Anolis sagrei: one gene and its partners. The protein of the gene in region 4 purifies or fractionates together with the protein of the main gene of each other region. This does not show direct contact. Links are inferred from orthologs where the notes say so. Each region holds a gene or a part of one and is shown on either strand. Other genes may lie near its edges. The genes, in order: EXOSC3, EXOSC2, EXOSC1 and EXOSC10.

Region 1 (7,452 bases), on a different chromosome or scaffold from region 4:
CTACAACCAAAGTATCCCTGACAGATGGTCACCCAGCCTGTTTAAAAGCTTTCAAGGAAGGAGCTTCCACCACAATCCAAGGCAGAGAGTTCCACTGCTGAACAGCTTGTAAGGGCAGGGTTGTAAATTCTTCCTAATGTTCAGGTGGGATCTCCATTCCTGTAATTGAACCCTTTATTCTGAATCCTAGTTTCCAGGGCAGCAGAAAACATGCCTGCTCCCTCTTCCTTATGGCATCCTTTCATATATTTATACATAGTGATCATGTCTCCTCTCAACCTTCTCTTCTGTAAGCAAAACATGCTCAGTACTTTAAGACGCTCCTTATAGGCCTGGTCTCCAGAATTTTGATCATTTTAGATGTCCTCCTCTGGACACCTTCCAGTTTGTCATTATCTCTTTTGAACAGTATTCCAGGTGAGGGCTGACCATAGCAGAACACAAAGGCTTCCCTTGATCTAGACACTATACACCTTTTTGATGCAGTCCAAAATCCCATTGGTTTTTGTAGCTGTTTCACCACACTGCTGGCTCATGTTCAACTGGTTGTCCATGAAGACTCCAAGATCATTCTCACATGGACTGTTGTCAAGCCAGGCATCCCCCATCCTGTCATCTGTGGATTTCTGCTTAAATGTAGTATCTTACATTTGTTCTTGTCAAAATTCTTTTTGTTAGTTTTGGCCAATCTGCGCTCTAATCTGTTGAATCATTTTGGATTCTGATCCTGTCACTGGAGCATTAGCTATCTCTTCTAATTTGGTTTCATCCGCAAATTTGATAAGCATGCCCTCTAAACTTTCATCCAAGTCATTAATAAAAATATTGAACAGTACTGGGCCCCGGACAGAACCCTGTGGCACCCCACTAGTCACTTCTTTCCAGGATGAAGAGGAACCATTGGTGAGCCATCTTCACAGGTGCAACTTGTGGGGTTGAAAGAGAGGGACTTTTCTGTAGTGGCCCCTTGACTCTGGAACTCACTCCCCAAAGATATTAGGAACCCCTCCCCCATTGGCAGTCTTTAGGAGCTTGAAAACTTGCTTGTTCCAATGTGCCTTCCCTGAATGAAAGATGAATAATTCCCTGATCTGACCAATTCTCTGCAAAATATCCTCTGTAGCACTTTATTCTACCTGTTGGGGCAATCACCCCTACCCTACCCTCTAAAACACCTGTTCAGACTAATTTCACTGTTGTCACATCCAGTGTTTAAAATTTTTAATCTAGTTGAATTGGCCCTGTCCAGTGTTGGATCCTTGTGTTTTTAAATGTTGTTTTATTGCTGATATGTTATTTATAATGGTTTTGTATTGTATTGTATTTTTTGTTTTATTTTATTGCTGTGTTGGTTTATACTGATGTGATGTATTGTCGGGCTTGGCCTCATGTAAGCTGTCCCGAGTCCCCTTGGGAAGATGGTGGCGGGGTATAAATAAAGTTTTATTATAATAATTATTATTTTGTTCATTCAGTTGTTTCCGACACTTCGTGACTTCATAAACCAGCCCATGCCAGAGCTCCTTGTCGGCCGTCACCACCCCAGCTGCTTCAAGGTCAATCCAGTCACTTCAAGGATACCATCCATCCATCTTGCCCTTGATTGGCCCCTCTTCCCTTTTCCTTCCATTTTCCCCAGCATAATTGACTTTCCTTTCTTCACATGATGTGGCCAAAGCTTTCCTTTCTTCACATGATGTGGCCAAAGTACTTCATCTTGGCCTCTACTATCTTTCCCTCCAATGAGCAGTCAGGCTTTATTTCTTGAAGTATGGACTGGTTGGATCTTCTCACTGTCCAAGGCACTCTCAGAACTTTCCTCCAGCACCAGAGTTTGTCATTGCTCTCCTCCCAAGAAGTAAGCGTCTCCTGATTCCCTGGCTGCAGTCTGCGTCTGCAACCAGGGAATCATCTTTGCACCTAGAAATACGAAGTTTGTCACTGCCTTCATGTTTTCTCCCTCTATTTCCCAGTTGTCAATCATTCTTGTTGCTATAATATTGGTTTTTTTGATGTTTAGCTGCAACTCAGCTTTTGTGCTTTCTTCTTTCACCTTGATTAGAAGACTCCTCAGCTCCTCCTCGCTTTTGGCCATCAAAGTGGTGTCATCTGCATATCTAAGGTTGTTAATGTTTCTTCCAGCAATTTTCACCCCAGCCTTGTACTCCTCAAGCCCCACACATCACATGATGTGTTCTGCATACAAGTTGAATAGGTTGGGGGAGAGTATACAACCCTGTCATACGCCTTTCCCAATCTTGAACCAGTCTGTTGTTCCATGGTCAGTTCTTACTGCTGCGACTTTGTCCTTATACAGATTCCTCAGGAGAGAGACAGGGTGGCTTGGCATCCCCATACCACCAGGAACTCGCCACAATTTAGTATGATTCACACAGTCAAAGGCTTTAGAATAGTCAATAAAACAGAAATAGATGTTTTTCTGAAACTCCCTGCCTTATTATTATTTAGTACCAATTATAGATCCACCTCATTGTAGCATTGCTTAGGCCACATATGATTAATTTGTTTGCAAACTATATAACCTACAGCACTTGGTATAACGTTATATATAAACAAAATCCTTCTGTCAGTTTACTTGAGCAACTCTTAGACAGCGCTCCACTCCCATAGGGTACATATAAGAAGTGCTCAAGCGCGCATGCGCAGTCTGGCCCTCGCGCTTCCTTACCCGCCTCTGCTGAGAGTCTACCCAATAAACGCCTCCAGAGCCACTTCCGGGGCCGCGGTAGCGTAGTAGGCCGCATTTCGTAACCAGCAGGCCTTCTCCACCGCGCCTCAGGCCCGGCCCGCACACCAGCTTCCCCTTCTGAGGCCCGTTGGCCGACAGGCGTAGCCGCTCGCTGTCCGCCTCTGCGTGGCCCGGCAGGAGCAGCGCCTCCCCCGGCAGCACTACTCGCCCGACCCGCTCCTGGGCCTCGCAGGCGCCGACGTCCGCCATGACTGCGCGAGCGGCCGTTGAGGTCTCGCGGGATCCGTTTGCGCATGCGTAGCTCAGAACCCTCTGTCTCCACTGGTCTCCTTGGAACTGGCGACGTTCACAAAGAGCGACGGACAAAAGTTTGGAATGCTGGCAGTTGGAGGCCTCCGTTTGTCGTTGGCTGCAGCCAGGCCTTTTGACAAGGAGTACCAGGCGTCCCTTTTCCGAGACTCTCTTGCCTTGTAATCTGAATACACAGCAGATTCCCAAACTCTGCACCTCCAGGTGTTTTGGACTTCAATTCCTAGAAGCCTCAGCTGCCTTGGCCAATGATCAGGGATTATGGGAACTGAAGTCCCAACCTGGAAGGCCAGTTTCTGGAACACTAGGTTTGTTAGGTTCTTGTAGGTTTTTTCGGGCTATAGGGCCATGTTCTAGAGGCATTTCTCCTGACGTTTCGCCTGCATCTATGGCAAGCATCCTCAGAGGTAGTGAGGTCTGTTGGAAATAGGACAATGGGTTTATATATCTGTGGAATGGCTGGGGTGGGGCAAAGAGCTCTCTGCTGAAGCTAGGTGTGAATGTTTCAGCTGACCACCTTCATTAGCATTTGAAGGCCTGGCTGAGCCTGGGGAAATGTTCTGTTGAGAGGTGTTAAGATGTGCCTGGTTGTTTCCTCTCTGCTGTTTTGTTGTTGTAATTTTAGAGTTTTTTTTAATACTGGTAGCCAGATTTTGTTCATTTTCATGGTCTCCTTTCTGTTGAAATTGTCCACATGCTTGTGGATTTCAATGGCTTCTCTGTGTAGTCTGACATGGTGGTTGTTGGAGTGGTCCAGCATTTCTGTGTTCTCATTTCTGTGTTGTCAGACTACATAGAGAAATGCCTCTAGAACATGGCCCTATAGCCCGAAAAAACCTACAAGAACCTAGTGATTCCAGCCATGAAAGCCTTCGACAATACTAGGTTTGTTATTCACGAAATATTTCATTTTAAATGTTTGTGGAAGTCTGCAACTATGGTTTTAAAAAATCACTCCAGTTTTGAGTTGGATCAACTGTGCTATTTATATTTATTTATTTAGGTAAAGGTAAAGGTAGTCCCCTGACATTAAGTCCAGTCATGTCTGACTCTGGGGTGTGGTGCTCATCTCCATTTCTAAGCCAAAGAGCCAGCGTTGTCCATAGGCACCTCCAAGGTCATGTGGCCGGCATGCCTGCATGGAGCGCCGTTACCTTCCCGCCGGAGCGGTACCTATTGATCTACTCACATTTGCATGTTTTCGAACTGCTAGGTTGGCAGAAGCTAGGGTTGACAGCGGAAGCTCACGCCGCTCCCCGGAATTGAACCTGCGACCTTTCGAACAACAAGCTCAGCAGCTCAGTGCTTTAACCCACTGTGCCACCGGGGGCCTCCATTTATTTATTTATTTACTTTATTTGTATACCGCCCCTCTCAGCCTTGCGGTGACAAGGCAATGCCACAGAGTACAAATACAATTTAAGACATTAACGTCAATAAAATCATAACAACAACAATACAAAAGTAAATCAGTAAATCCTCAATAAAAACATTGTCCAATTACATCGTATAGTTGTTCCGTTTTCCTATGTCCATTACTCAATATTTGCAAATGCTTTTATCCCACTTTTCTCCCGTGGGTGGGATTCAAAGCAACGTACAGTGTTAAAAACCAATAAAAAATTACAAACAAAAAATTCAACAGAAACATAAACTAAATAAACAAATCGCACATTTCATAACCCATATAAAACAAATTAATAATTTACAACATTTATTTATTTATTTTATTTCCAACATTTCTACCCTGCCCTTCTCAACCCCCAAGGGGGTGCTCAGAGTGGCTTACGCTAGCAACACTGGCAACAATTCAATGCCATGACATGCAGAGAGATACAACAAATATAGCAACAATTTAAAAACAATAAAAAGCGTAAGTTAAAACAATTTAAAATGTTATTATTGAACCACATAGCCACTTCCAATCCAGTTCTACATCCAAAGTGTTATCATGCCTATCCAAAGACCTGGTGCCAGAAATATGATTTCAGTTTCTTCCTAATAAAAGAAAGGAGAGACGAGGCCGACCTTATCTCACTGGGGAGCGAGTTCCACAGATGATGGGTCACCACCAAGAAGGCCCTGTCCCTTGTCCCTGCCAAACGCTTTTGCAAAGCTGACGGGGCTGAGAGCAGGGCCTTCCCAAATGATCTCAAACTATGAGGTGGAATGTAGAGGGAGATACATTCCGACAAGTAAGCTGGGCCGGAACTGTATAGGGCTTAATAGGCCAAGACCAGCACTTTGAATTGTGCTCGGAAATGGACTGGTGGCCAATGGAGCTGACACAGCAGGGCGGGGTGGTGGTGGTATGCTCCCTGTATGACGCTCCGGTGAGTAATGGACTAGCTGGAGTTTCCGAACAGTCTTCAAAGGCAATCCTACATAGAGTGTGTTGCAGTAATCTACTTGGGATATAACCAGAGCATGGAACACTGTGGCCAGATCAGACTTCCCAAGTATACTAACATATACCATTAAAATTCCCTAAACCTCCGGCCACTGAGGATATCTTAGTTGTGCTAAGATCCTAGAAACTCCCTTTTCTTTAGACAGTATAAAAACATTGCTTAGTCCTTTTTGGCCTAACCCCTATGATGTTTGTTTTGCTGCCTGTTCAGGAGATGTCGCCTCTCTGTCTCTGATAATTGGATTTTGAACAAAAATTGGCTTGTTGTGGACACAAAGATTGGTGAGAAAGCCTCAGTGGAGACACCTTTACTCTATGATCACTGTTCCAGGAGTGATGTTTTCTTCCAAGAGGTTGATTTCTCTCACTACCTGTTGTCTCACTCCCAGCCTTAACTATTTATAACTGAGTTATTTGTAAGTTGAATGCATGTAATTCAGGGATTGTCTGTACAGTGTGATTCCTCTTATCGACGGATTCAGTGCCCACAATCTCAACCCCTCAGAAGTGTTTGTGAATCTGTCTAAGTCCTCCAGCACAATCTTAACTACATCAGTGGTCCATGGACCACCAGTGGTTCCAAAGAACAAAAATATGATCCATGGCATCACCGTTAATACACCATTGCAACAAGAGTGACTGGCCTCACACAACCCTCTTATAGTGCCGAGGCAACGGGGATGTCAGGGGCAAATATGGGAAACATAAGCTTTGTATAAAACATCACAGTGTTTTATTTACTAAGCCCAAATATAAAAGTTGATTGAACACATTCTTGTGTGACTTCTCATATAGAATTTCTCCTCAGCATCTCACAATGAATGTGTGAAATAGAACAAAAAGACATGAAGTGTCAGGTTTCCCCAATTGGTTGCTGAATCTCTTCCTATACTGTCTTCCTTTTTGGTATGGAACATCAACCAAGGCAATTTTGCTTGTTTTTCTCTATCTGGCAAAGGCATAGAACTAGTTAACACGTATTTGGAAAGTCACGATAAATCTTTTTATATTTGTCTTGGGAACTAGAACAGTTTGGTTCATACTGTTTTGTGCCAAAGTACATACCTGCTCACTATTTTAAAAGATGTTTGACAGTGAACCTGGTAGCCAAAATCAGAGAAGTTGATACAACGGCGCATTCTACTACTAGCCCATCTTGATGCGCTCTACTTGACTGTCAGTGGCTCTCTAAAAGTGTCTGACCAAGCTTTCATCCCACCAACTGGACAGCCTTGGTATCTTTTCCTTTTCTCTCCTGCTTTTGCAGATGAGAGAACCTCTTCTTCCAAGAAAGTTGATCGACCTACACATCATCCCATTATTGAAGTAACACCTTTATTGCCATTAGTAGAAATTGGGCATTTCAGCATATGTAATACATACAACTGCCATGTGTAGATGGCTCATTTTTACAATGTACATAAACTATTTCCTGTCAAACATTTTTACAGTTTTTTGTAAACACGAATGTTTAACTTACACTGTTTTCATTTAGCTGGAATGAGATAAGCAAAGGGCAAGAGTATTTTGCTCTTGGCTTATTAAGCAGTGGTGACACCATCTGGCTGACAGTAGAAACACACAAAAAACTCAATCGACAAGAGTTTTGTGTAAGTTATAATTTCCCCTAAGTTGATAAAGCCTCTGCTTGTTTGATGGTTTGAGTGCTGAACTATGACACTGGGGGACTACAATGTCAATCCTTCCTCAGCCACAGAAGCCAACTAGGTGATTTTGGGAAAGTCATATTATCTCGGCCTCAGAGGAAGAAAAAGGCAAATCGCCTCTGAACATCTGGTTTCCTTAGGGTCAAACTAAGTCAAAGATAACTTGAAAGCATGCAACAACAGCAACAACTTATGGATCACTAAGCATGTTGGAAGAAACCTTCAAATAGTCTCCAGAATATTCAAATGTTGTTGTTGTTCATTCGTTCAGTCGTCTCCGACTCTTCGTGACCTCATGGACCAGCCCACGCCAGAGCTCCCTGTCGGCCGTCACCACCCCCAGCTCCCTCAAGGTC
Region 2 (6,916 bases), on a different chromosome or scaffold from region 4:
ATAATGTTAAGGAAAATAACAATAATAATTGGTGTTTCTTTTATAGTGAAAGAAAGTGGGATATAAATAATAATAACAATGTTAAGGAAAATAATAATAATAATAATAATGATAACGTTAAGGAAAGGGCTGCGGTGGTGCAATGCGTTAAACCGCTAAGCTGCAGAACTTTCTGACTGGACAGTTGGCAGTTTGAATACGTGAGATGGGGTGAACTCCCGTCGTTAGCTCTAGCTTCTGCCAACCTAGCAGTTCAAAAACATGCAAATGTGAGTAGATCAATAGGCACTGCTTTGGCAGGAAGGTAAAAGCGCTCCTTGCAGTTCTATCAGTGGCCCCATGACCTTGGAGGTGTCTATGGATAACGCTGGCTCTTTGGTTTAGGAACTGAGATGAGCACCTCCCCCAGAATCGGACTTGACTTGACTTAATGTCAAGGGGAAACTTTTACCTAAGGAAAGCTTTGGATGTATTCAAGATGCAAAAGCCAGAAGTTTGGCTTGTTTACCTCAGTGATGCGCCCTACCACAATGTCTCCGACTTCACCGTTATACCTGAAGAACAGAACAAAATAATTAATCATCACATCATAAATTTATTACCTTGCCTCCTTGCAGCTCGTCACTCTTATTTGCAGCATTGTCGTTTTCTTAGACAGTGATATGAGGTCCACAATATTTGAGACAGCCACCCCAATATTCCTTATTTAATATGTATGGTGACAGAATGCAATGCATATTAAATAGATGTTATTTTTTTAAAAAATCTATTTTCTGGAACTTCCTGGATGTCTAATGAAAGTGGGTTGCATTTCACTCACCTGGCAAAAGAATTGCAGCCTGTAAGACCCCTTTAGTAGTAGTAGTAGAAGAATAGTAATAATAATAATAATAATAATAATAATAGGTTGTTGTAGGTTTTTTCGGGCTATATGGCCATGGTCTAGAGGCATTCTCTCCTGACGTTTTGCATGCATCTATGGCAAGCATCCTCACCTCACTACCTCTGAGGATGCTTGCCATAGATGCAAGTGAAACGTCAGGAGAGAATGCCTCTAGACCATGGCCATATAGCCCGAAAAAACCTACAACAACCCAGTGATTCCGGCCATGAAAGCCTTCGACAATAATAATAATAATTCATTATCTGCCCCTCCTTACAGTGGATTAAATTCCTGACCTGCCAAACTTGCTAACTGAAAGGTCACAGGTTTGAATCCAGGGAGCGGGGTGAGCTCCCGCTGTTAGCCCCAGCTTCTGCCAACGTAGCAGTTTGAAAACATGCAAATGTGAGTAGATCACAAGGGAATAGATTGCCCTTGTGACTCCTTCTCTGGGTGTTTTTAAGCAGAGCATAGACTCAAACTCTTTGATTCTGTGATTGTATTAAATTCACATAACAAAATAAACACAGCTGTAGAGGTATCTCGCAATAATATTAATATAGTCAATATAATGACTATATTAATATTATTGTTGCCTATATTAACTAGTAGTTATTATAATACTAGTTAATATAGGCAACAATAATATTAATATAGTCATTATAATAACCACAATAGGCTGAGCTCACCTGGTTTTCAGGGCTTTGACACAGACCAGCTTATTCACCCGCTCCACCAGGCCGGCCACCGAGGCAATCAGCTTCTCGTCCCCCAAATACGTCCCGTGGCCCCTTAGGGACATAAAAGAATATACGTCACTGGCTACGATTTAAAGTTCTCATTAATATAATAATATTAATAATACACCTTATGCTCATATTTTGAGCAGACTTTGTTTGAGGTAAGGGGTATAAACAGATATAATTAGATATATTTAGATATATAGATATACATTTACATGTATTTTAGGTATATATATATATATAGATATATTTAGAGATAATATTTTTGGAGAATGAATTAAATTGAACCCATGGAAAAAGGCCATTCTGTCACTTTGATAATGGCAGACTTCATATGGCAGACTGCATCACCCATCATCCAATACACTGAAGCTCCCATGATCTCCTTCCTTCCCACAGTCACCTGACGACATTCCTTCCTTAACACGGATCCTCTACATCTCCCATCATTGACTTAGTGAGCTGAAGTTCCCATTATCCCCTCTATAGCCTCCCAAAGACAGTGGACTACATCTCCCATCACTCAGTCAGCAGAAGCTCCCAAAAGTATCACTTATAGCCCTCTTCTAGTCACGACACTGAACTGAAGCTCCCATTTCCCCCTCTATGGCCCCCCAAACACAGTGGACTACATCTCCCATCACTCAGTTAACAGAAGTTACCAAAAGTATCACTTATAGCCCTCTTCCCAACACAACACTGACCTGCAGTTCCCATCATCTCTCCAAAACACAGTAGACTACATCTCCCATCACTCCATCAACAGAGGTTCCCCAAAGTATCACTTATATCCCTCTCCCAGACACCACACTGAACTGAAGTTCCCATTATATCTCCCCCCCAATCACAGTGGACTACAGCTCCCATCACTCAGTCAGCAGAAGCTCCCAAAAGTATCACTTATAGCCCTCTTCCGAACACGACACTGAGCTGAAGTTCCCATTGTCTCCTCTATAGACTCTCAAAGACAGTGGACTACATATCCCATCACTCAGTCAATACAGATTCCCAAAAGTATCACTTGTAGCCCTCTTCTAGACACGACACTGAGCTGAAGCTCCCATTATCCCCTCTGTTGCCCCCCAAACACAATGAACTACATCTCCCATCACTCAGTCAACAGAGGTTCCCAAAAGCATCACTTGTAGCCCTCTTCCAGACACAACACTGAGATGATGAAGCTCCCATTATGCCCTTCCTGGGAGTGATGGGAGTTGCAGTCCCCCTCCTCCTCCTCCTCACCTCATGTATCCCGGGTCGGTGGTGATGGTGTCTCCGGGGGCCACCAAGTCCCTTTCCCCGTCGCCTTTCGCCAGGCGCTTCCGAGCCACCGGCAGCCGCACTTCCACCGCCGCCGCCATCTTGGATGAGGGCACCCAAGCTTCCGGTAAGGCTTCGACTTCCGGTCCCGCCTGGAGAGGCCTCGGGACTCTATGGAAGGCTCTCCCTTCGGCGCCCTCTGGCGGTCCCTGCCCGTATTGCACGCCTAGGATGGTGAGTGAGACCCACACTCCCAAATTCATGACTGTTGGGCAAGGAGGATTTCATATATAAATATATTATATAAATAAAATAAAATGAGTAAATAAAATAAAATTTATTATATAATGTAATATATTACTTGTATATATTATATTGGAGTGTTTTTTATACATTTCCTTTCTATCCAGATGATTTATTTCAAATTGATTCACAACAAATGCATTATTATTATTATTATTATTATTAAATATGCAATTCTATATTTGGATTATTGTTTTATATATAATATAAAATATATAAAATAAAATATATGACATGCGCATTATATATATATATATTATATATATATAATATGACATGTGCATAACATAAAATATATAATATAAAATATATAAAATATATTATATGGCATGCACATTATATTGGCGTGCTTTTAAAAAAAACTTCCTTTTTATCTAGATTATTTATTTCAAATTTATTCATAATAAATGTATTATTATTATTATTATTATTATTTTGCAATTCTATATTTGGATTATTATTTTATATATAATATAATATATGACATACATATTATATTGGTATGCTTTTTAAAAATATTTCCTTTTTATCCAGATTATCTATTTCAAATTTATTCATAATAAATGTATTATTATTATTATTATTATTATTTATTTATTTATTTATTTGCTTTATTTTTATACCGCATTTTTCAGCCTAAATCGGCGACTTATTATTATTATTATGCAATTCTATATTTGAATTATTATTTTACAAATAATATATGACATGTGCATTATATTGGCATGCTTTCTTAAACATTTCCTTTTTATCCAGATGATCTATTTTAAATTATTATTATTATTATTATTATTATTATTAACTCTTGTCTGTTGGAAGCAGGTGTGAATGTTGCCATTGGCCACCTTGATTAGCATTGGGTGGCCTTGCAGCTTCAAGGCCTGGCTGCTTCCTGCCTGGAGGAAATCCTTTGTTGGGAGGTATTACCTTGAATTCCAGACAAGAATTAATCAGGGCCCCTGATTAATTCCTCGTTCCCAACAGACCTCACAACCTCCAAGGATTCCCCCCAGGCAGGAAGAAGCCAGGCTTTGAAGCTGCAAGGCCATTCAGTGCTAATCAAAGTGGCCAATTGCAACATTCACACTTGCCTCAAGCAGACAAGAGTTCTTTCTCCCACCCGGAACATCATCCTACAGGTATATAAACCCAATCTTCCTAGTTTCCAACAGACCTCACCACCTCTGCCATAGATGTGAGCGAAACGTCAGGAGAGAATGCTACTGGAACATGGCCCGACAGCCCGGAAAACTCACAGCAACGTTATTCTTTGGGAATTCCTCCTTCCTTCTATAGATACATATTGTTTTTGTTATTGCAAAGACCATGCTATATATAAGTAATTATTTTGGATACTCTTCTCTGATTATTTTTTTTCGCATTTGCATATGCATAATGACCTTCTATGGCCAATCCTTATTGCAAGCCTTAATCCATTGAGCAGACTTGCAATAACCCTTTGGTTTCCAACTGCAATCCTTTGCTGCCCTCAAGTGTCCATTGCTGGAGTTGCAGGAGACTGAGTTGATTATTCCATCTCATTTCCCCCTATGGAAGCTTCAATCTTGGCATCCCATCATTCTCTACTTGCAACACAACAACTCCCAGGATGCCATAGCAAATGAAAGCGGTGCTAAACTGCATCAATTCCACAGTGTAGATGCATCCCATGAAAGTGTTGGTGCACCTTATGAAAGTTGATGTTGTCGACATTTCTCTGCCATCTTCTTGCATTCGTGCTGGGGGATGATGGGCTAGGTAGTGCTGTTTCAATTGCGTTATTACCGAATGTAATTCCTCCACTGACCAAACCCTTCACAAGTTTATATTTTTGGGCTTTGATATCTTTATCAATGATTTATAAATGGAATAAAAGGCATCCTTATTACATCTACTTAATTTAATGTAAATAAATAAATTATTAAATTAAATAAATTATTAATTAAATAAATTATTTAATAAATTATTCTATTTAATTTATTCCCATTTATATAATTATTTAATTTATTTAGTTAGTTTAATTTGAATAAATTTATTTATTTAATTAATTATTTAATTATTTTATTAATTAATTAAATTATTCTATTTAATTTCCATCTAAGCAAACCTATTATGGAATCATAAAGGTAGAAACTGTTGGAGTATGCAAGGAATCAGTTCATGTGTGTGTGTGTGACAACTGTAAAATATGATGCATGAAGCTGATTGGGAAGCAGGCTGAGCCTGGGACTTTCGGAAACTGTTACGTTTTTGTTTAGGCTTGAGCTATGCAAGTGCAGAGAGGGAAGAAGAGAGAAGCAGAGAGAAGACAGTTTGGAGTGTGCTCTTGCTTCGCGAGCTGCTAAGGAAGGTTTCTCCACATGGACAGAGTAAGACCACTTTAAATCTCTCATAAAAGGACGTTATGTGAGTTGATGCAACTGATAACATTGTACATATGTTGTTCTGAACTACAAAGAGTAAACTACTCGGTTGTTGTAGGTTTTTCGGGCTATATGGCCATGTTCTAGAAGCATTCTCTCCTGACGTTTCGCCTGCATCTATGGTGAGACCTTACAACCTCTGAGGATGCTTGCCATAGATGCAGGTGAAATGTCAGGAGAGAATGCTTCTAGAACATTTGCCATATAGTCTGAAAAACCTACAACAACCCAGTGATCCCAGCCATGAAAGCCTTCAACAATACAGTAAACTACTTGTTCTTTACTGTTCACTTGCGTGGCATATTTTCTTTCTCTGGCAAGGCAGTGTGTGGGCTGATCAAACGTGAACTTTACATGGTTCATTTTACATTATGCCACAGAAATGACCCCCCCCCCCCTGTAAAGGTCATCCAAGTCAACCCCAATTTTTCCAGGAAGGGAGACACCACAAAAAACCTCCAGGTGGATAACCACACAGCCTCTCCTTTGGCAATGACAAAGGAGGGCACTGCCTTCCCTTGAGGCCAAGAGAGTGCAACTTGCATGGCCGAGCAGGGATTTGAACCCAGGTCTCAAGCCCCAGGGCAATAATTTGCAGGTAAATATATATATTTATTAATTAATTACAGTATTTGGAGTCCAAGAGGGTAAAGAGAGGTACAAAGAACGGTTTGCCAATACAATCTCATAGAATAACAAAGCTCTGTAAACACAGGAAGTGTTGTCATTATTATGACTCTAATTATTATTATTACATACGTATATAAAGTGACCATCATTCTCTGGAAGCTGTCCGCGATGCATCTGTACATCCGATCCTGATACGAATGGATATTGTCGCTATCGTTCCATCTGTTTGCATTCAATTTAATTTGCTTTGAAGGGTGCCATGAAAAGAGATAGATTAGGCATGGGCCAAGTTTGGCCTTCCCTCCAGGTGTTTTGAACTTCAACTCCCACCATTCCTAACAGCCTCAGGCCCTTTCCTTTTCCCGCTCAACTGCTTAAGCTAGATGATAGAATCATAGATCTAAGAGATGCCTACCTTCAGGTAGTGATAGAGTGATAGATCTAAGAGATGCCTATTTTCAGGTAGATGATAAGAGTGATAGATCTAGGAGAGGCCTACCTTCAGGTCCCAATAGATATATTGTTATAATGCTTAAGCAGCTGAGGGGGAAAGGCTGTTAGGAATGGTGGGCATTGTAGTTCAAAACTCCTGGAAGGTCCAAGTTTACCCATGCCTGAGATAGGACCTGCACTACATCTCCCGTGCAATGGGAATCTCCCACCTGACTGATGGG
Region 3 (6,850 bases), on a different chromosome or scaffold from region 4:
GTCCCAACAAAATCTCTGGGACTGGACCCATGAATTGTAGAATCACAGAGATGGAAGAGACCTAAAGGGCCATCCAATCCATCCCCCTGACATGCAAGAAAACACAATGAAAGCACCCCCAAGGGATGGCCATCCAGCCTCTGCTTTAAAACCTCCAGAGAAGGAGACTATCAGAATATATTCCACAACCGTACAGCTCTGACCATCAGGAAATTCTTCTGAATGTTTAGGTGGACTCTTTTTCTCCTGCAGTTTGAATCTACTGCTCCATGTCCTAATCTTTAGAGCAGCAGAAAAAACTTTTCTCCTCCTCAATGTGACATCTTTTCAAATATTTACACATGGTTCTCATGTCCTCTCAGCCTTCTTTTCCCCAAGCTAAACACACTCACATTCCTTAGTGGCTCCTCATAGGACTCGGTTTCCAAACCTTTGCTCACTTTGGTAGCCCTTCTCTGTGGACGCCTTATTTATTTATTTACTGTATTTTTACCCTGCTCTTTCTCACCCTGAAAGGGGACTCAGAGCAGCTTCCAAACTGGCAGTAATTACAAATATATACAAATACAATATACACCTACACTAAAATCAATACAAATTTTAAAAATAATAGAATATCTATTAAAAACCACATAAGATCCGAAGTCATAATCCAGAAGGCATTCCAATTGTGTTGCAATTACTTCACAGCTGCCTATTGCACTGACTTCTCCGAAAGCTTGGTCCCATAGCCAGGTTTTTAGTTTCTTTCTAAAGGTCCGGAGGGAGGGAGCTGATCTGATTTCACTGGGGCCCCTTCCCCACTGCCCCTTCATCCCAGGATATGATCCCAGATTATCTGTTTATCCTAGGTTATCTGGCAGTGTGGACTCATAATCCAGTTTAAAGCAGAAAACTTGGGATCTGATCCTGGGATAAAGGGCCTATCTGGAAGGGCCCTGGGAAGTGAGTTCCACAGCCGAGCCATCACTGAGAAGGCCCTGTCTCTCGTTCCCACCAGCCGCACCTGTGACGAAGGTGGGACCGAGAGCAGGGTCTCCCTAGAACAGTGGTAAACTGGTTGGGATTTCTGGGAGTTGTAGGCCAAAGCACCTGGGGACCCACAGGTTGAGAACCACTGCCCTAGAAGTAAGTAAGTAATGTTATTGATTAGCCCTTAGGCCATATCACAATAAGAAAGAAAACAACAAGGACTGAAAAGACCTTATCACACTCCACTTAGTAAGTTAAAATACGACACTTATAACAACACTGTAAATAAATATAAGACGTGATAAAACTGATAAACTTATCAAGATGAGTATATACATCATATTTCATTATCACCCCTACAATTTACCCCCAATCAGCCCTACATATGTGGTTCTCAGACGTATTGTTTTGCTTAAGTACAGAGCTGTTTTATATGTAATTTTTGGGTCTTGGTCACACATAAAGTATGTTGTTCTGATGTGAGATTCCCAATACATTCTCCGTTTGATATATGGACCAAGGTGGAAGTCTCAGCCCTAGAAGATCTTAACCTCCGAGGTGGTTCATAGAGGGAGATATGTTCAGACAGGTAGGCTGGGCCAGAACCTTCCAGCTTGTCAATATCTCTTTTCAATTATTATTACTTGGATTATTATTCCAAGTGAGGTCTGACTAAAGCAGAATAGAGGGGGGGGGGGGCTAGGACTTCCCTTGATCTCTACACCATTTTGGATTCTGATACCCTTTACGGCTCCGGCCCAGCGTACCTGTCCGAATGTATCTCCTTCTACGTCCCACCCTGGAGTTTAAGATCTGCTGAGGGGGCCCTGCTCTTGGCCCCACCGTTATCACAAGCGAGACTGGTGGGGATGAGAGACAGGGCCTTCTCGGTGGTGGCCCCTCACCTGTGGAATGCACTCCCCGGGGAAATTAGGACATCAACATCCCTCCTCTCCCTCAGGAAGAAGCTAAAAACCTGGATGTGGGACCTGGCCTTCGGGTAAGCTGGCAGATGGAAAAAGACAACCAAGAATGACCAGAGTAGGAAAGGACAATGACAATGCTAAATTGTTTACGGACTTGGATTTGGTGAACACTGACCACAAGATGTTTTTATTGTTGCTAGTATACTGTCTGATGGTTTTAATTAGTTATAACTGTGATATTATGTGGTAAATTTGTGTATTGTATATGGTATTGTATGTTGTAATTGTTAGGCATCGAATTGTGCCTTTTGTAAGCCACCCTGAGTCCCCCCTAGGGGGTTGAGAAGGGCGGGGTAGAAGCACCCCAAATAAATAAATAAATAAATCCTCTTATTGATGCAGCCTAGAATCGCATTGACTGTTTTAGTTGCTGCATCTCACTATTGACTCACATTCAGCGTGTGGTCGACTAAGACTTTTAGATGCCTTTCACATGTTTTCAAACCAGTTGTCACCCATCCTAAAGCATTTCATGTTTATTGCCCAGGTGTAAAAACCTTACATTTCTCCCTGATGGAATTCTTTCTAGTTTTGGCCCATCTCTCTAATCCAGGCATGGGCAAACTTGGGCCCTCCAGGTGTTTGGGACTTCAACTCCCACCATTCCTAACAGCCTCAGACCCCTTCCTTTTCCCCCTCAGCTGCTTAAGCGGCTGAGGGGGAAAAGGAAGGGGCCTGAGGCTGTTAGGAATGGTGGGAGTTGAAGTCCCAAACACCTGGAGGGCCTAAGTTTGCCTATGCCGACTCTAACCTGTTCAAAAGCCATTTTGGATCCTGATACAGACATTATACTCCTATTGATGCGGCCTAGAATGGCACTGGCCTTTTCAACAGCCAAAACATAGAAGTTACAATTTCCAGAAGGCTCTCTTCTCTCCCACGATGTCTCCATAAACTGAGGCCCCCTCCCACGTTTCGAAGACTCCGCCAATCCAATCCATTCCCCATTCTGGGTCACCCACCAGGGACGCAAAACCGCGCGGGCGCCATGACAGAAAGGCTCTCTCCACAGCCAGGCCTCCGAGCCTCCCATTGGCTACTCTCGTGGTCACGTGACTGCTTCGCCCCGGTTTGGGAGACGTCCGGGAGAGAGAGAGAGAAAAAATGTCGGAGGAAGAGTATTAGGCGCCGCGCGGGGCATGACGGGAATCGTAGTTCCATTCGGGACATGCAGCGTGCATGCGCGGACGGGGCTGTTAAAGGGAGGGTGGGAGAGAAGATGCTCAGGTGAGGCAGGAACCGGGAAGCGTCTGGGGCTGAGGATGGCAGGAACAGGTAAGCTCCGTGCCTTGGCCTCGTTGTGTTGCATGCTTTGAACCCTAAAGGAGAGAGTCTCCTTTGTTCCTCTCCATTGTTATTTTGGAGCTCGTCTTCCATAGCTAAGCCTTTGGCATCCCTCCACCCTTTCAATCACAAAGAGGAGGCTGTGATGATTTCTCTTCCTTCCTTCCCTTCATAATGACCTGGCTTTCCCCATATTAACCTCCAGCTTCTAAGAGGTTTTATGAATGGATGTGCAGTATTTTCTTCCTCCGGTTTGTGCAGCTACACTGTAGAATAAATGCGGTTTGATACCGCTTTAACTGCCCTGGCTCAGTGCTAGCTCTCTGCCAAAGAGTGCTGGTACTTCATCTAACTACAAACCCCTGGATTCCAATAGCATTGAGCCAGGGCAGTTAAAGTGGTGTCAAACTGTGTTAATTCTACAGTGTAGATTGCTCCAAGGGGGTATTTATTTATATATAACTAAACATCCCTTGCCACGCGTTGATGTGGCCCAGTCTGTGTATATGAGTTTTATGTGTGTGTATATATTTGTGTATGTGTTTATATATGTCTGTCTGCATATATATATATATATATATATATATATAAGCAGACAGACATATATACACAAACACACACATATATATGGTTTTGCGCATGGAAGTAACGTATTTTTATTTTCTATTTTTTGCTTTTTTAGTCTCTTCTGTTGTGTTTTTTAGTGTTTTTATGAGTGATGGTCACTCATTGGCCTGATACGTATATTGCAGGCATGGGCAAACTTGGGCCTTCCAGGTGTTTTGGACTTCAACTCCCACAATTCCTAACAGCCGGTAGGCTGTTAGGAATTGTGGGAGTTGAAGTCCAAAACACCTGGAGGGCCCAAGTTTGCCCATGCCTGGTATATTGTGTCCAAATTTGGTGTCAATTCATCCAGTGGTTTTTGAGTTCTGTTAATCCCACAAACGAACATTACATTTTTATTTATATAGACTACCCATCCCCTGCCACGCGTTGCTGTGGCCCACATGAGGGTTCTGTGTGGGAGGTCTGGCCCAAATCTATCGTTGGTGGGGTTCAAAATGCTCTGAGATTGTAGGTGAACTATAAATCCCAGGAACTACAACTCCCAAATGTCAAGATTCTATTTTCCCCAAACTCCACCAGTGTTCACATTTGGGCATATGGAGTGTTCGTGTAGAGTTTGGTCCAGATCCATCATTGTTTGAGTCCACAGTGATCTCTGGATGTAGGTGAACTACAACTCCAAAACCAAAGGACACTGCCCACCAAACCCTTTCAGTATTTTCTGTTGGTCATGGGAGTTCTGTGTGCCAAGTTTGGTTCAATTCTATCATTGGTGGGGTTCAGAATGCTCTGTGATTGTAGGTGAACTATAAATCCCAGCAACTACAACTCCCAAATGACAAAATCCATTTTTTGAGTGAAGGACATACATTGGGTTGTTAGGTGTCTTGTGTCCAAATTTGGTGTCAATTCGTCCAGTGGTTTTTGGGTTATGTTAATCCCACAAACGAACATTACATTTTTATTTCTATAGATATTGAGGTTTGATACTTTAACTGCCCTGGCTCAATGCTAGCTCTGTGACAAAGAGTGCTGCTGCTTTACCTGCCTGCAAATCCCAGGATTCCAATAGCATTGAGCCACGCAGTTAAAGTGGTGTCAAACTGCGTTAACTCTACAGTGTAGACTGTTTCAAGGGGGTGATGACTGGAGTTGTCCTGTTTCCCCTTCAGAAGGGATGAGGCTCTGATGGCATGGAGGGCATTCCTCCTCTGCTTGCAAGGAACCCATTAAGCCTCCCACGCATCCCCTGCTCCCTGGGAGCATCTCAGTGGTGATAATCTCCCCCTGTGACGCTGATGCTGCCATCTGGCAAAGGGGCTTCAAAAGTCACTGGTAATCTGTGCCCAGGAACCTTGCCAGCTCTGCCCAGCTGGCCGAAAGGGAGGGGATGACCTCTGGGAGCAACTGGGAAGACAATGCCTCTCTATCTGTCTGTGAGAGTGGATATTAATGTGCCACATATAGACAGTATGCTATGATTCCACCAGAGACAGGCTCACTGTACGGGGGAAGGTCTTACAGCCATAGAAAAGAATCTATAGGATTGCAAGAGACCACAAAAGGCCATTGAGTCTCTAACCCCATTTTGCCATGAAGGAGCACACAATCAAAGCACTCCCAACACATGGCCAGCCACCCTCTGCTTAGAATCATAGAATTGGAAGAGAGCTCGTGGGCCATCCAGTCCAACCCCCTGCCAAGAAGTAGGAAAATCGCATTTAAATCACCCCCGACAGATGCCCATCCAGCCTCTGTTTAAAAGCCTCCAAAGAAGGAGCCTCCACCACATTCCGGGGCAGAGAGTTCCACTGCTGGACAGTTCTCACAGTCAGAAAGTTCTTCCTCATGTTCAGGTGGAATAACTTTTCCTGCAAGTTGAAGCCAGGTCTTTTATCACCCAGTCTTTGTTTATTTACTTTATTTTTATTTGTTTATTTTATTATCCCACCTTTTTCCCAATATAGCGGGCATGGGCAAACGATGCCCCCCCAACACATTTTGAAGTCCAACTTCCATAATTCCTAACAGCTAGTAGGCTGTTAGGAATTGTGGGAGTTGAAGTCCAAAGCTCCTGGAGGACCGAAGTTTGCCCATGCCTGCAATAGAAGAACTCAAGCCAGCTAACAACAAATACAAAACAATGCCAATTGAAACAATGTAAAGGCACTGCTCCCAGACTCTTGAACTCCCTCCCTAGAGACACCTAGGGCCCTTCTGTACAGCCTATATCCCAAAATATCAAGGCAGAAAATCCCACAATATCTACTGGGTTATCTAAGGGCCTTTCCACACAGCTCTATATCCCAGAAGATGCAGGCAAAAAGTTCCACAATATCTGCTTTGAACTGGGTTCTCTGAGTCCACACTCAGATGATGTGGGATTTCCTGCCTTGATATTCTGGGATATAGGGCTGTGTGGAAGGGCCCTGAGTTCCCATTGCCATATATTCCAGTTCAAAGCAGAAAATGTGGGATTTTACTCAGCTGTGTGGAAGGGCCCCCAGTGACACCATCATTGCTTGCCTTTCATAAGCAGGTAAAACCTTTCCTCTTCCATTGTACATTTGTGGAATCGACGAGAGGCAGGCCCCCTTCCACACAGCTGTATAAAATTCACACTGAGCTGGATTATATGACAATGTAGACTCAGATAATCCAGTTCAAAGCAGATATTGTGGACTTTTTGGCTTGATATTCTGGGTTATATGGTTGTGTGGAAGGACCTGCAGGCTGCTGAATGAGATTTTTGGGGAGCTGTGTAGTTTTAAATGTATTTTAATATTTGTTATGTTCCGTGATATAAGGATTTGATTGCATTTATAGTTTTTATATTCCTATTTTAATTAATGCATTTGTCCTGTTCTAATTGTACTGTGTCATGTTTGCTGTTAATTGCTTTGAGTCCCTATGTTGGGAGAAAGTCGGGATAAAACTAAAATTTATTTGGGGAGCAGGGTGAGTTCCTTCTGTTAGTTTCAGCTTCTGCCAACATAGCAGTTTGAAACCATGCAAATGTGAGTAGATCAATAGGTACT
Region 4 (7,599 bases):
GTGAGAGTCAGGAGGACAGATGGCCACAACTGCTCCCGGAAGCCCTGTCCTTCCGCCATAGCCAGGCCCCTTTCTGACCCTCGTTCGGTCACCTTCTGGCAGCGGCTTCATGGCGTTGGGTTTGACGAAGAGTTTGGGGACGAAGGGGGTGTTGGAGTTGTCCACTTTCTCCCGGAACCTGAGCTGCGGGCGCAGGATGTTCCTGGCGTGGAGAAGGCGGAAGGTTTCGGGCCGGGACCGCTTGCTAGCCTCGCTGCTCTGCTGGGAGGAGACATGGGCGTTAGCACAACATCACTCCCACATAATATGTAAACAGAAGGAAGAGGAGGTTCACCTTGCGGTTCCAGCTGGAAACGATGGTCTTGGGAGGCTGCAAACCCAAAGGCAGGACCGGCTGCTGGTTCTTGTTCACGCCGGCCGCTTCATCCAAGAGCGTGCCCTGCAATTATGAAGCCATACAGTCGGAAGGGACCCCCAAAGGCCATCCAGTCCAGCCCCCTCCTGCCACCCAAGCCCTCCAACTTATACAGGGCGATCGCACTCACCACGCGCTCCAAAATGGCGTCGTTGGCATCCACCAGCAGGTCGAACTTGTCCTCCAGCTCCGTCACGGTGCTCCGGTCCCGGAGGTGACTTCGGCAGCCGTGATACTGCATCACTTTGCTCATGCTGGGAAATGGTACAGAATACAGCTTCGTAAGAGTCATGTCTACATATTGGGAAGAAGGTCCTAAGGAGGAGGAAGCAGGTTTGCTTTCTCCAGGATTCCAATTTTCTATAGCCTTATGAAGCTTCCAATGTCTGAGAGGCTGGATAGCCATCTGTCAGGAGGGCTTGGAAGGTGCCCCCTGCCTGGCAGAAGAATAGGGTTGGACTGGATGGCCTTTGGAGGTCCCTTCCAACATTCGATGCAAGACTCACCATTGGAGAAGCCGGTCTCCTTGCGTCTCACAATAGGCCTGGAAGCCAGGAAAGCTGCGGTAGAAGTCGTACTCGTCTCCCGGCTGTGGGAGGCCATTGGAGGCCTTGGTGACAGAGACCACAGAGCCCAGGGCATGCTGGGAAGCAAGGGCAGGACAACCGTCAGGAAAGGAAGCCTTGGGAACTCAAGGTAGATAGTTCAGCCTACAATTATCTATCTATCCAGTTCCACCTCTATCTATCAATTTCTACCTCTATCTATTTATCTATCTATCTATCAACTTCTACCTCTATCTATCTATCAATTTCAGCCTCTATCTATCTATCTATCCAGTTCTACCTCTATCTATCTATCAATTTCTACATCTATCTATCTATCCATTTCAGCCTCTATCTATCTATCCATTTCTACCTCTATCTATCCAGTTCTACCTCTATCTATCTATCTATCTATCTATCAATTTCTACATCTATCTATCCAGTTCTACCTCTATCTATCAATCAATTTCTACCTCTATCTATCTATCTATCTATCCATTTCTACATCTATCTATCCAGTTCTACCTCTATCTATCTATCAATGTCTACCTCTATCTGTGTGTATATATGGAAAATAAATTATAAATTATATATATATATATATATATATATATATGACAAAAATATGAATAAAATGGGAAAATTACATTATATATAAGTATATAGCATATGTATGGTGGAAATTAGGGTATAATATATAGACATTGGAAAAATAAATTATATATATATATATATATATATATATATATATATGAGGGAAAAACGTATAAAATGAGAATAATTATATAAACCATATGTATGTATATATATGGAAAATAAATGATAAATTATTAAATATATATATATGAGGAAAATATGTATAAAATGGGAAAATACATTATATATACATACATATATGCATGGTGGAAATTAGAGTATAATATATAGAAATGGGAAAAATAATATATATATTATTTACTTTATTTATATACCGTTTTTCTCAGCCCTCAGATGGCTATATGTATATATATGAGGGGGAAATTGTATAAAATGGGAATAATTATATAAACAATGTGTGTGTGTGTGTGTGTGTGTGTGTATGCAAAATTATTAAATTATTAAATATATTTATGAGGAAAATATGATTACAATGGGAAAATTACATTATATATAGGTATATATGTATGGTGGAAATTAGAGTATGATATATATAAATGGGAACAATAAACTATATATATACATATGGAAAAATTTGTATAAAATGGGAATAATTATATAAACTGTGTGTGTGTGTATGGAAAATAAATTATAAATTATTAAAAATATAAAAATAAAAAGGAAATGTTCATTTTTCAGACCTACACCTCCCAGAATCCTCCTCTCCAAATGGGGGAAAAATAAATGAATGTAAAATATAATTATTTATATCACACACTCAATATAAAACTAACTGATGGATACGTATTATATTAAGATCATAATATAATTCTCTATGGGGAAAATAAGTTAAGACAAATTAAAATAAATATATTAGAATGCATATAAAATTAATAAGCAGAGATTACACTAACACAATATAATTACTGTATATTTAATATATTTAATTTGAAATAAATCAATATAAAATAACAAAAATAACAAAATTTTATTTCAATTCAATATTAAAATAAAAAGATTCCCTTTGAGGGGTAAAACCCAAGCCCAGCAGACATAAAAAGGAAATAATAGGTAGGAAAAGGTCCTTTTGGAGGACTACACTTCCCAGAATCCTTTAAGTGAGGCCTAAGATTCATGAATTGGGCATTCTTCCCTGAAAACTACAATTCCCGGCATGCTTAGCGCGCGCATGCGCTCTCCCGCTGGGGCCTTCTCCTCCCTCAAAACTACCTTCACGAAGGCATCTGCGTCCCCAAATCCGGGCAGGACGAAGCCTTCGCGGTCGGTTTCCATTGCCGTCGCCTCGTCGGGGCCGCTCAATCCTTCCTTCGCCGCCATTTGCCGCTTTTTCTCAGCGAGCGCCGCTTCCTTCTCTCACACAGCCGCCATCTTGGAAAAGAAAGCATACTCCCGCTGAATCTCGCGAAATTTCCCAGAGACGCATTTGATTGGTGTTTCCCTAATGCCGATCTTCTTTATTCTTTCCTTTGATTGGTCTATTCCCAGAAGCCCCTCCCTCGCGCTGAGCGGAGGCGGAGAAGGAAAGGTTGTCTTCGTGGTGGGCAGGAACCAACGCCCGTCACTCACCCTAGCCGCGCCTTCCTATTGGTCTGTTTAGTATTTCGAAGAAGCTGATTGGCTAGTCAAAAGAACGGGGTGGCAAAAGGCGAAGATGAGACTGAGGAGAGAGGTGAGTCGAAAAAAGGTAATTTTTGGGAAGTAAAGAGGACATTTTGGGGGGCAATTCCCCTTCAGAAGGTTTCCCTCAACGAAGGGGAATGTCCACCACGGAATTTACCTCACAATTTACCTCAGAACAGCAAGAATATCCTTTGTGAGGTGAGTGATCATGAGAGCAGGGATAATAATAATGTTAATTACTATTAGATAACAATAATATAATAGTAATTAACAACAATAGCAGGTCTAACATGGCCACGAATATTAATAATGATAATAAAAATAGTTATAATAGTATTAATAACACTAATAAAATGGCTGATAGGGAAGAGGATAATAACAACAACAACAATAATAAAGATAATAATGTAATGAGGGCAATAGCAATAGGGTAATAATAATAATGTAATGGCAATAGCAGTAGGATAATGATAATAATAATAATGTAATAAGGACAATAGCAGTACAATAATAATGTAATAATAATAGCAGTACAATAATAATAATAGTAAGGTAATAACAATAGCAGTAGGATAATGATGATGATAATAATAATAATAAGAAGAAGAACTAGTAGGATAATAATGTAATTACAATAGCAGTAAGTAATAATAATAATATAATAATAGCAGTAGGGTTATAATAATAATAAGGTAATAATAGCAGTAGGATAATGATGATAATAATGATGTAATTACAATAGCAGCAGGGTAATAATAATGTAATAAGAACAATAGTAGGATGATAATAATAATGTAATAAGAATAGCAGTAGGATAATAATAATAATGATAGCAGTAGAGGAATAATAAGAATAATGTAATAAGAATAGCAGTACAATAGTAATAATAGTAAGGTAATAACAATAGCAGTAGGATAATGATGATGATGATAATAATAATAAGAAGAAGAAATAGTAGGATAATAATGTAATTACAATAGCAGTAGGTAATAAGAATAATGTAATAAGAATAGCAGTACAATAATAATAATAGTAAGGTAATAACAATAGCAGTAGGATAATGATGATGATTATAATAATAATAATAAGAAGAAATAGTAGGATAATAATGTAATTACAATAGCAGTAGGTAATAAGAATAATGTAATAAGAATAGCAGTACAATAGTAATAATAGTAAGGTAATAACAATAGCAGTAGGATAATGATGATGATGATGATGATGATAAGAAGAAGAAGAAATAGTAGGATAATAATGTAACTACAATAGCAGTAGGTAATAAGAATAATGTAATAAGAATAGCAGTACAATAGTAATAATAGTAAGGTAATAACAATAGCAGTAGGATAATGATGGTGATGATGATGATGATAAGAAGAAGAAGAAGAAGAAATAGTAGGATAATAATGTAATTACAATAGCAGTAGGTAATAAGAATAATGTAATAATAATAGCAGTAAGGTTATAATAATAATAAGGTAGTAATAGCAGTAGGATAATGATGATGATAATAATAATGTAATTACAATAGCAGCAGGGTAGTAATAATAATAATAATCATATAAGAACAATAGTAGGATGATAATAATAATGTAATAATAGCAGTAGGATAATATTAATAATAGCTGTAGAGGAATAATAATAATAATGTAATAAGAACAATAGTAGGATGATGATAATAATAATGTAATTACAATAGCAGTAGGATAATAATAAGAATAATAATAATAATAATAGCAGCAGTAGAGGAATAATAATAATAATAATAATGTAATAAGAACAATAGTAGGATGATAATAATGTAATAATAATAGCAGTAGGGTAATAATAATGTAATAATAATAGCAGTAGAGGAATAATAATAACAATAATAATAATAATAATGTAATAACAATAGCAGTAGGCTGATGATGATGATGATGATGATAATAATAATGTAAGCAGAAAAATAGCAGTAGAGTAATAATAATGTAATAAGAACAATAGCAGGATAGTAATAATAATAGCAGTAGGGTAATAATAATGGAATAATAGCAGTAGCGTAATAAAGATGATAACAATGTAATAAGAACAATAGCAGGATGATAATAATAATAATAATGGAATAACAATAACAGTAGAGTAATAATAATAATGTAATAATAGTAGGATAATAATATTAATATAATAACAATAGCAGTAGTATAATAATGTAATAATAGCAAGAGGGGAATAATAATGTAATAAGAAAAAATAGGATAATAATAATAATTAAATAACAATAGCAGTAGGATAATAATAATGTAATAATAACAGTAGGATAATGATGATAATAGTAATAATGTAATAAGAAAAATAGCAGTAGGATAATAATTAATTGCAATAGTAGTAGGGTAATAATAATAATAGTAATAATGTAATAAGAACAATAGCAGTAGGATAATAATAATAATAATAATAATAATAATAATAGCAGCAGTAATGACACTGCTGCCAAGGATGATGATGATGATGATAATAATAATAATAATAAAGATAATACTAATAATGTAATAAGAACAATAGCAGGAGACTAATAATAATATTAATAACACTGCTGCCTACTCGGATCTGCACGCATTATTCGCCGATACATCACATAGTCCTAGACATTTGGAAAGTGTCCAATGTGTGATCGAATACAAAAGCCAGCAGAATTATCTTGTTTGTTGTGTACCAGTCCTGTTGTGCATCAAATAATCATAATAATAATATTGATAATAATAGCAAGCCTGCTGCCGAGGATGGCGGCACTTGCTGTGTTACGTTGCGGCCTTTTTCTTCCTTTGGCTTTTTCAGAATGGTTTCCTTCTGTTTCCAGGACCCTAAAGAACCCCATAGATTCTGATCCACCACCGCCACCATGTCGGGGACCGTCATTATCCTCCAGCAGTTTGCCACCGGCCTCAAGAGCAGGAATGAAGAAACCCGGGCAAAAGCGGCCAAAGACCTGCAGCATTATGTGACCATGGAGCTCCGAGAGGTGAGAGAGAGGGGGGGGGGGCTCCGGGAATGCGGGGCTTTGAATTCAGGAGCCCAAAGGACGGAAACACGCATCCTCTTTGTGTCCGAGCAGTGCCCATGAGACTGAACTTTTTCTTCCTCTTTTCCTTTGGTGTAGATGAGCCAAGAGGAATCCACTCGTTTTTATGACCAGCTGAATCACCACATCTTTGAGTTGGTCTCTAGTTCAGATGCAAATGAGAGGAAAGGAGGCATTCTGGCTATAGGTGAGTACCTGGGTCTTCACTCTAAATCAGTGGTCTGTAGTTTAGTTAGGCTTGTCAGCCTATGACAAGTTCACAGGAAGCAGTTATAATATGATAATCTTACGTCAGTAACTGTTGGAAAGGCTGATCTGCCAGGTAGCTTGAGAAGTGCTGGTATAAAGCAAAGTAATAAAGATTCTGCACAATCTCCTTGGCCATTATGTCATGAATGACTTTTCAATAACTTTGAAACGTTGGTTCTTTTTATTGCAGATTACATAAAAACATTTAGACAAAGAATGACATTGGACATACAGATTCTATGCAACTACATTGGATTCACAATTACATTGGTTAACAAACAAACAAAGGAGAATTACATTTTCACTCAACATTTACACACATGTACACGCATTCATCCACATGCATTCAAATATTACTATATCCTTTTCTCCCTCCTTGGAGAAGCACCTGTTAGGCCAGACCCTGATTTCCTGCAGCCTGCCAACGCATAGTTCCAAAACTTCCATAACGCCATAACTTCAGAACGCTGAAATGCCAAAACTTCTTCCCTAAGAACAATGCCAAGGACCAGATATCTGTTTTCCATACAGCAGAACCTGACTCCCTGCACAAAATCCAAGACTCCAAAAGCGCACTTCTTCCTCTTCCTTTGAGAAAGAAGCCCCAAAGTAACCAGACTGCTCCCGTGCAGATCTGCCACTATCTGAATACAACATCTCTCTCCTTCCCATGGAGCAGAGCATGGAGGGTGAACAGCGTCTCTGTCTACCACAATTTGAGCATTATTAGGCCGAGTCTTTTATAGAAATATTCTGTTGATGTAGTCCTAAAGTTGTAAATTAAATAGACGTCTTCCATCCTGGATCCATCTCAGTTTCCTGGTCAGATGTTGACTCTTCTGGATTGGTGTTGACAAACAAAAGGCTTGTGTTGACTTCCTTCTTAACATAAGGAATGTTGCAAACATTTCTGTTATCACTGTCCCAATTCTTATCAGAGCTTACTCTTCAGATCTCATTAACAGGTTTTAATCACAAAGCAGCAAGCAGGTAGTTAGTGATCGCAGGCATTAATATTATACTGGTGTTTCCAAAATTATTAACTCCAACCA

Evidence for each region.
Region 1: the proteins of EXOSC10 (region 4) and EXOSC3 purify together in Homo sapiens (affinity purification with mass spectrometry; 8 studies listed by BioGRID and IntAct, counting the BioPlex papers as one, with this or other methods). This does not show direct contact. The link is inferred for Anolis sagrei from reciprocal best matches to the Homo sapiens genes EXOSC10 and EXOSC3.
Region 2: the proteins of EXOSC10 (region 4) and EXOSC2 fractionate together in Homo sapiens (co-fractionation; 9 studies listed by BioGRID and IntAct, with this or other methods). This does not show direct contact. The link is inferred for Anolis sagrei from reciprocal best matches to the Homo sapiens genes EXOSC10 and EXOSC2.
Region 3: the proteins of EXOSC10 (region 4) and EXOSC1 purify together in Homo sapiens (co-immunoprecipitation; 8 studies listed by BioGRID and IntAct, counting the BioPlex papers as one, with this or other methods). This does not show direct contact. The link is inferred for Anolis sagrei from reciprocal best matches to the Homo sapiens genes EXOSC10 and EXOSC1.

Annotation. Positions count from the first base shown.
Region 1 is NC_090023.1:155,253,443-155,260,894, reverse strand, and holds the start of EXOSC3 (exosome complex component RRP40), read right to left. Parts: upstream 3,004-7,452; 5' UTR 2,960-3,003; coding exon 2,690-2,959; intron 1-2,689. UniProt on the Homo sapiens protein: Non-catalytic component of the RNA exosome complex which has 3'->5' exoribonuclease activity and participates in a multitude of cellular RNA processing and degradation events.
Region 2 is NC_090031.1:2,833,482-2,840,397, forward strand, and holds the start of EXOSC2 (exosome complex component RRP4), read right to left. Parts: upstream 3,019-6,916; 5' UTR 2,988-3,018; coding exon 2,869-2,987; intron 1,675-2,868; coding exon 1,573-1,674; intron 555-1,572; coding exon 509-554; intron 1-508. UniProt on the Homo sapiens protein: Non-catalytic component of the RNA exosome complex which has 3'->5' exoribonuclease activity and participates in a multitude of cellular RNA processing and degradation events.
Region 3 is NC_090023.1:217,772,363-217,779,212, forward strand, and holds the start of EXOSC1 (exosome complex component CSL4), read right to left. Parts: upstream 3,023-6,850; 5' UTR 2,949-3,022; coding exon 2,921-2,948; intron 1-2,920. UniProt on the Homo sapiens protein: Non-catalytic component of the RNA exosome complex which has 3'->5' exoribonuclease activity and participates in a multitude of cellular RNA processing and degradation events.
Region 4 is NC_090033.1:7,031,136-7,038,734, forward strand, and holds the start of EXOSC10 (exosome complex component 10), read right to left. Parts: upstream 3,016-7,599; 5' UTR 2,935-3,015; coding exon 2,827-2,934; intron 1,059-2,826; coding exon 922-1,058; intron 670-921; coding exon 546-669; intron 440-545; coding exon 335-439; intron 262-334; coding exon 93-261; intron 1-92. Other genes in the region: serine/threonine-protein kinase mTOR, read left to right, coding at 6,119-6,238, 6,377-6,485. UniProt on the Homo sapiens protein: Catalytic component of the RNA exosome complex which has 3'->5' exoribonuclease activity and participates in a multitude of cellular RNA processing and degradation events.